2 linked regions of the Diceros bicornis minor genome follow. The protein of the gene in region 1 interacts with the protein of each later gene in a biochemical or structural test. Links are inferred from orthologs where the notes say so. Each region holds a gene or a part of one and is shown on either strand. Other genes may lie near its edges. The genes, in order: ARIH2 and CKB.

Region 1 (3,903 bases):
ACTTGCTCTCCTTGGAAGGGGCTCAGTCTCTGAGGACATCATTGCTTCCCACAGGAGGCCACTCAGGGTAATGTGAGGTGACAGGCTAAAGATGGCCAAGCTCCCCTCTGGGGCGGGAAAGGAGCGAAGAGATGGTGACAAGGCACTCTGGCAACAGAGGAATGTGTCAAAAGACATCTCTAGAATAATCCAGCCTCTGTCTTGAGCTTTCTTCCTGAGGCGGGCTTTACAGGTGACCTGTTTCAATCTTGCTGATACTGTTAAGGTTTGCTGAAATCAGAGCTTTGGGGAGGCACTTTTTCTTTCCCACCCCCAAAGAAGTGGTGCAAGGCCAGGAGAGGCTGCCGGACAGAGAACTTTTGAGCGGTTAGAAGCCGCTCACTTTGCGCGGTCCGGCTCTTTGGGACGCGAGGAACAGCTTCCTCCGACCCCCGAAAGGGGCGAAAGGGAGATTCGCTAGATTTTTCTGGGAAGCTCCGACCGGCCCCCTTCTGTCCGAGCCCACGTCTCGACGCAGACCCTGCTTTCCGCGCCTCGCCCGGGCCTCCTCCCTCCAGCCCACGCCCCAGCCCCCTCGCACCTTGACTGTGTCCAGCGGGTGTCCTACGAACACCAGGCACATGCCGCCAAAGCCGCCGGCCAGTAGGTTCTTGAGCGGGCTGATGGGCTTCGCCGGGTCTACCATGGCTCGTCCGTCCGTCAACGTGCCTGTCGGTTCCCAGGCCGCCCCGCTCTACCGCCCCAGACGCAGCGCCGGCGCCGCCGACCTTTCACCCACTTTCATGTGGGCGGGACATGAGCCCAGGGCAGGTCGGGAGGAGGGCCTAGACTGCCTGGCCCGGCTTCCGCCATGGGCAGCTGCTTCCGGCGGAGGACCCGCCCTCATGGGCGTGGCTTGAGGGAGAGGGGCCGGCCGTGACACTGTCTGCGAGTTGTTTGGAAGGGCCGGCAGGTGGCCTCGCTCTTCCAGGAAGTCGTCCTGGATTTGAGTGTTTCCTCCTCTGGGCTCCCATTGCTCCACTCACTCCGCAGAAGTCGATTGCGCTCTGCTGTGTGCCAGGCGCCCTTCTAGAGCTAGTAGCACAGCACACGGGGCCTTGTCCTTGTGGAGCTTAACAATGACAAAGACCATAACAAAGATAAGTGAAAAATGTGTAGTGTATCAAGTGGTGATAACTGCTATGGAGAAAAATAAACCCGGAAATAGGGTTAGAGAGTATGAGGGGTCGAGTAATTTGCAATTTTAATTAGGTGAGTAAGGGATTCAAGACCTGAGACGGTGAGAGAGTTCTGTCTATAGACTGCCATAGAAGGTCCCTCACCCTCCACCCCATATCCTGTCCATATGGGGTGGAGGGTGAGGGACCTTCCAGGCAGAGGAAAAGAAAACGCAAAAGCCCGGAGATGTGCTGTGCCCTGCCTGTTTGAGGAACCACAGGGAGGCCTTTGTGAACAGAGTGAAGGAGAGGAGGAGGAGTAGCTGGTGAAGACATGGAGGTAATGGTGGCATATCAAACTGGGTTTTGTGTGCCATTGTGGGGACATCAGCTTCTCCTCTGAAGGAGACAGGAGCCATTTTGGGATTTAGAGCAGGGGAGTGACATAGTCTGACTTATGAATTGCCAAGATCCCTCTGACTGCTGGGTAGGAATAGACTGTAGGGAGCAAGGAAGAAGCAGGGAGCCTTGACAAGGCTAAAGGTCATGGTCAGAGATGCTGGCAGGAATCAGGGCATAGCAAAGGAGGTGGTGAGAAGTGTTCAGATTCTAGATATATTCTGAAGAAAGAATCTAAAGGAATTGTTAATGAATAGAATTTAAGGTATGTGAGAGAGGAGTTAAGGATGATGCTAATATTTTTACCTTATTGACTCTAGGTGGACAGTATCCAAGTATTCACTATATTATTCTTTCATCATTTCTGTATGTTTGAAATTTTTCAGGTTAAAAAGCTGTAGCAGGTACCTCACTGCCAAGCTGACCTGATAACAGTCTTTCTCTGTGGGCACTCCCAGGCTAGAGGGAAGCTAGGAAAGGGGAATATGGACCATGTGTGCTGGGGGTGGAAAGATGAGTAACAGGATCAGGACTGGGATCAGGAAGTGACTGGGTCTGGCTGGTCCAGAAAACCTGTAGGGGAGTGGAGGGCAAGGAGGCTGGGACAAGACCCAAAAGCCTATCTACTCTGTGCTATAGGCTTTTTCTAGGAGGTGATGGGGAACCATGGAAGAATTTTAAGCACAGTGGTGACATGATCAGATTTGTTTTAGGAAATCTATTTTGCATGAATGATTTTGTGTCGAGATAGACTGGAAGCAGGGAGACCAGTTAAGAGAGAATTACAGTGGTCCAGGCAAGAGGCGGTGAAGGCATGAACTGAAGCAGGGATCATAGAAGGATGGAAAAGGGGATAGAACCCAGAGGCATTACCAGAAAACCTGCAGCAGCTCTGGGTTTCAGACACACTGCAATTGCAGTGCCCATGGCACATCGGGGGACATACCTGGTCAGTGTCGGGTATACAACTTGGGAACCTGGAGAGAGGTGAAAGCCAGGGACAGAAGCCAGGAAGTTTTCAGCATAAAGATGTATATATGACCCCTGGAAGACTGTACTATGGGAAGAGGGGCTGGCATGGAAGGAAGAGCTCCCAAAGCAGAAGTTGCTGTTAGAGTTTTAGAAGAAAACAGAGAATAGTGCCTTTGAGTCCAAGGGATGAAACAGTCAAATGCTGGGTAAGCTAGGGAATTTTAAATGCTCCTTAGGTTTTTTTTGGTTGTTTTGTTTTGTTTTTGTACAAGGAAGATTCACCCTGAGCTAACATCTGTGCCAGTCTTCCTCTATTTTTTGTATGTGGGATGCTGCCACAGCATGGCTTAATGAGTGGTGTGTAGGTTCACGTCCAGGATCTGAACCAGCGAACCCCAAGCCGCCGAAGTGGAGCACACAAGCTTAACTATATGCCACCAGGCTGGCCCCCTCATTAGGTTTAACTATTAGTCATTGGTGACATTTAGAAGAAGTTTTCCCATAGTGTTGACAGTGGTGGATTGAATACTGAACAGGCAGCAAGAAGGCAGAGGCACTGAGAGTCAATTACTGGTTCAAGGAGCTTGGCAGGGAAAAGAAAGGAGCAATGGGTTAAAGGGTTTAGATTTCAGTGTTTAAGATGAGACTGAGGCTGAAAGAAATATCTAGAAAGGAGAAAGTGCAGCTGATAAGACAAGGTCCTTGAGGTGCTGGGAGTGGTATCTGGTGTGTGTGGCATCATCTGACAAGCTTCTTCTAAATGCCCTGAAATTTCCAGGGCTCTGATTCTGAATCTCTGAAATTGAGTTCTGGCACAAGAGTGTTTAAAGCTCTGTGGCTGAGTTTGAGAAGCATCCATTGTTAAGAACCTCCAAGATAGGGCCGGCCCCGTGGCTTAGCGGTTAAGTGCGCACGCTCCGCTGCTGGCGGCCCAGGTTCAGATCCCGGGCGTGCACCGACGCACCTCTCCAGCCATGCTGAGGCCGCATCCCACATACAGCAACTAGAAGGATGTGCAGCTATGACATACAACTATCTACTGGGGCTTTGGGGGGGGAAATAAATAAATAAATAAAATTATTAAAAAAAAAAAAAACCTCCAAGATAGAAGGAAGAGTGTTCAAGCTAGGTGAGGAGACAGCTCACAAAATGTAAAGTAAGGTTGCGTAACGCCTAACACACAGTAGGTGCTTAAAAAGATGATTGTTGAGTGAGTTAGAAAGTGGGTTCAAAGGGCTTTAGTACAGCTGAGGAGAAGAATCTCAGACATTGGAACAAGAAAGGGCTGTTAGGAGAGAGCTCAGGTACAAAGTGGGTTGTCAGCTCTCAAGGAGGCCTGAGGTGTCCTCCTGACTTCCTACATTATCATCTTTGT
Region 2 (3,903 bases), on another chromosome or scaffold:
GGGGAGGTGGGGCATGGAGAGGCAGTACCTGCTGTGCAAGCCCAGGACGCTGTCGCCCGGCCCCTCGCCGCGGCCGCCGCGGGGACTGGCGGGACGAGGAAAGGCCGGAGCCGGGTGCAGACGAGCCTGGGCGTCCTCAAGTGCCGGGTGGCTCTCCTGCCTCAGTTTCCCGCCCAGAGGCAGTGGGGGTAGGGGGGGTAACTCCAGGATGTCCAAGGGCCTGAGGTTCTGATTTCGGGGTCCTGGGCGGGCGGCGGGCGGGGTAGGCTGTCTGCGCGGCGTCCCGGCGAGGAGACAGCTAGGGTGGGCTGCCTAGGGGGTTGTCGGGGGCTGCGGACGGCGGACAAAGCGGCGGCACCACCCCGCAGTGCAGGCCAATGGAATGAATGGGCTATAAATAGCGGCCAATGGGCGGCCCGCGTCGCGCCCCTTAAGAGCCGCGGGAGCGCGGAGCGGCCGCTGTTCGCCTGCGCCGCGCCCTGAGCCGCCGACGGAGAGAGCGCCCCTGCCTCCGCCCGGCCGCCCGGTGAGTGGGCCCTAGGGCCGCGCTCGGCGCGGGGCCGGGGGCGCTGTGCATGAAGGGGACGCGGGGTCCCCGGCGTCACGCGCTCCAGGAGCGCCGGGGCTCGCCGCCTTCCCGCGCGCGCCGGCTATGTCGGGGGTCCTGGGCAGTGCGGGCCCCCCTGCGCGCGCTGCGGACCCCGCTGACCTTGGCCGCATCCCAGGGTGGCCGGAGGCTGCGGCTGCCGGGCCCTGGGTGGTTTGCAGGTCTCCGGGAGGCTCGATGCGCCGGGTCCCCGCTGACCCCCGCGTCTCCCGCAGCCCGCCGCCCGCCGCCGCCATGCCCTTCTCCAACAGCCACAACACGCTAAAGCTGCGCTTCCCGGCCGAGGACGAGTTCCCCGACCTCAGCGGCCACAATAACCACATGGCCAAGGTGCTGACCCCCGAGTTGTACGCTGAGCTGCGCGCCAAGAGCACGCCGAGCGGCTTCACCCTGGACGACGTCATCCAGACCGGCGTGGACAACCCAGGTACGCGCACCCCAGACCCAGGGTCAGGGTGCCCGTGCCTTATCCGCAAGGCACCCCGGGGGCGAAAGTCCAGTGACCCCCGTTCCCGTGAGCAGCCGCAGGGTCCTTAGCTGCTCACTCAGGCCTGGCAGTGACGTCACTGTCTCCATTCCGCGCCCCCCCAGGCCACCCCTATATCATGACTGTGGGCTGCGTGGCGGGCGACGAGGAGTCGTACGACGTGTTCAAGGAGCTCTTTGACCCCATCATCGAGGACCGGCACGGCGGCTACAAGCCCAGCGACGAGCACAAGACCGACCTCAATCCCGACAACCTGCAGGTGCGGGGCGGCCCAGGGCAGCGGGGCGGGCTGGGGAGGGGTCTCCCGGCGCTCACCGCCGCTCGGCCCCCAGGGCGGCGACGACCTGGACCCCAACTACGTGCTGAGCTCGCGGGTGCGCACGGGCCGCAGCATCCGCGGCTTCTGCCTCCCCCCGCACTGCAGCCGCGGGGAGCGCCGAGCCATCGAGAAGCTCGCCGTGGAAGGTAGGGGTCGGCAGGCCAGGCGCCCCTCCTCGTCCCCGTCCCGGACCCCGTTCCAGTCCCCGCCCGGCTTGTTTACCAGTCACCCGAGCCGCCGCCGCCACCGCCGCGCTCTTATCTGCGCGCCGGGTTCGGTTTCCCGGAGGGCCAGAGGGACCGGCCCCGCGCCCACGGCGGCCCGGGACCCAGCGAGGGCCAGGGTCACCGCCTCTGGCCGCCGCCCGGACCGCGTGGACTGGGGTCCCACAGAGCCGGGTTGGCATGGGGAGGTGGGGCGGGTCCGTACCGCTGGGGTGGTGGGGGTGTGGGGTAGGGGCTTGGCCGCCTGTCCACCTGAGCGCGCCCCTCCGCAGCCCTGTCAAGTCTGGACGGCGACCTGACGGGCAGGTACTACGCGCTCAAGAGCATGACCGAGGCGGAGCAGCAGCAGCTTATCGACGACCACTTCCTCTTTGACAAGCCCGTGTCGCCCCTGCTCCTGGCCTCGGGCATGGCCCGCGACTGGCCAGACGCCCGCGGCATCTGGTGCGTGCCCCCTCCCGCGGGCCCCCCCCTTTACCGTCTCACTCCTCTCCCCTACCCTCCCCCCACGGAGGCCGAGGAGGAAGAGGGAGGGGCCTCGCTCCCGGTACAGGTTTTGGTGCCGCCCAGGCCTCCTCGAAGGTGACCTTGACCTGACCACGCAGGTGCGTAAAGGGATCCCGGCTGGTGGAGGCCTCAGCCTCTCGGGATCTTAGAGAGGGGGGTGACGGGTTCTATTGGCTTCTCTTCTCCACCCCGTCTTGGGAGCTGGAGCTTTTTGTTTTCTCCCTTTCTCACCCCGCTTCCCCGCCGGGACTCTGCCGGGTGCTGGGTGACGCAGATGCTTCCTCAAGTGGCGGCGGGGGTGGAGGGGGGGCGCTTACAGCCTCCTGCCCGCACTGTGTAGCGCGGGCTTCAGCACCTATATAGCGCTTCCCCGCCTCCGGGGGGCGCTGTCCTGGCTGCCCTTGCCGCTTACCTCCTAGGTGGGGACCTTGCCCCGTCCACCGCACTTGGGCCACACAGCACCTGACTGGCAGGCTGAGAAGCAGCTCACGGCTCTTTTTATACCCTGAGGTGTCCTGGCCTCTCTGCCTGCCCCTAGAATGTGGACTGGGCTGGGGTCCTAGCAGCAGCCCATGCTCCTGGGTACAGCTGGAATCAGAGCCTTAGGCACTTGGGAAGTTCTTCAGGTTTGGGGACCCCCTAAAGATTTTTTCTGGATGTGCCCTGAGACCACAGTCCAGGGAGGAAGCTTGATTGTGCTCCTCCTCCAGGCACAATGACAATAAGACCTTCTTGGTGTGGATCAATGAGGAGGACCACCTGCGGGTCATCTCCATGCAGAAGGGGGGCAACATGAAGGAGGTGTTCACCCGCTTCTGCAACGGCCTCACCCAGGTCAGGCCTGGTCACCCCCAATCCAGGCTGGCACCATAGGGGCTTGGTGCCAGGGAGGGGGCAGGGCAGGACCCCAGAGCTCAGGCAGGGATGTCGGTGCCCCATCTGTCTCCCTGGGGATCCCAGGTCTCAGTCACCTCCGGGTCCTGCCAGAGGGCTCCTGGGTCCCAGTCTCACCTTCTCCACTGGTCCCCTGGGGGTTTGTCTTAGCCAGGCCTCCCCTCTCACGCCTTCTCCACCTCCAGATTGAAACGCTCTTCAAGTCTAAGAACTATGAGTTCATGTGGAACCCTCACCTGGGCTACATCCTCACCTGCCCGTCCAACCTGGGCACAGGGCTGCGGGCAGGTGTCCACATCAAGCTGCCCCACCTGGGCAAGCATGAGAAGTTCCCTGAAGTGCTCAAGAGGCTGCGGCTTCAGAAGCGAGGCACAGGTGAGTGGAGCAGGGGCAGCAGGCAGTCCTCTTCCCTTGGGGCAGCCCCCTGCCAGCCCTGCTGACCTTCCTGTTTCCCCAGGTGGTGTGGACACAGCTGCCGTGGGTGGGGTCTTCGACGTCTCCAATGCAGACCGCCTGGGCTTCTCGGAGGTGGAGCTGGTGCAGATGGTGGTGGACGGCGTGAAGCTGCTCATTGAGATGGAGCAGCGGCTGGAGCAGGGCCAGGCCATCGATGACCTCGTGCCCGCCCAAAAGTGAAGTCCTGGCCTGCACCTGCCATCGCCACCAGCCCTGCTGCTTCCTAACTTATTGCCCGGGCAGTGCCCGCCATGCACCCCTGATGCTCACTGCCTGGCAGCTGAGCCTTTAGCCTCGCTGTAGAGACTTCCGTCACCCTTGGTAGAGTTTATTTTTGTGATGGCTAAGATGTTGCTGATGCTGAAATAAACTAGGGTTTTGGCCTGCCCTGAGTCTCTGAGTGGTACTT

The links.
Region 2: of the proteins of ARIH2 (region 1) and CKB, one has a biochemical effect on the other in vitro, tested with the Homo sapiens proteins (2 studies listed by BioGRID). The link is inferred for Diceros bicornis minor from reciprocal best matches to the Homo sapiens genes ARIH2 and CKB.

What each region holds. Positions count from the first base shown.
Region 1 is NC_080741.1:50,194,444-50,198,346, forward strand, and holds the start of ARIH2 (E3 ubiquitin-protein ligase ARIH2), read left to right. Parts: upstream 1-1,408; 5' UTR 1,409-1,497; intron 1,498-3,903. Other genes in the region: SLC25A20 (mitochondrial carnitine/acylcarnitine carrier protein), read right to left, coding at 581-685.
Region 2 is NC_080763.1:48,175,270-48,179,172, reverse strand, and holds CKB (creatine kinase B-type), read left to right. Parts: upstream 1-808; 5' UTR 809-841; coding exon 842-1,034; intron 1,035-1,198; coding exon 1,199-1,353; intron 1,354-1,426; coding exon 1,427-1,559; intron 1,560-1,909; coding exon 1,910-2,081; intron 2,082-2,854; coding exon 2,855-2,978; intron 2,979-3,223; coding exon 3,224-3,413; intron 3,414-3,495; coding exon 3,496-3,674; 3' UTR 3,675-3,881; downstream 3,882-3,903. UniProt on the Homo sapiens protein: Reversibly catalyzes the transfer of phosphate between ATP and various phosphogens (e.g. creatine phosphate).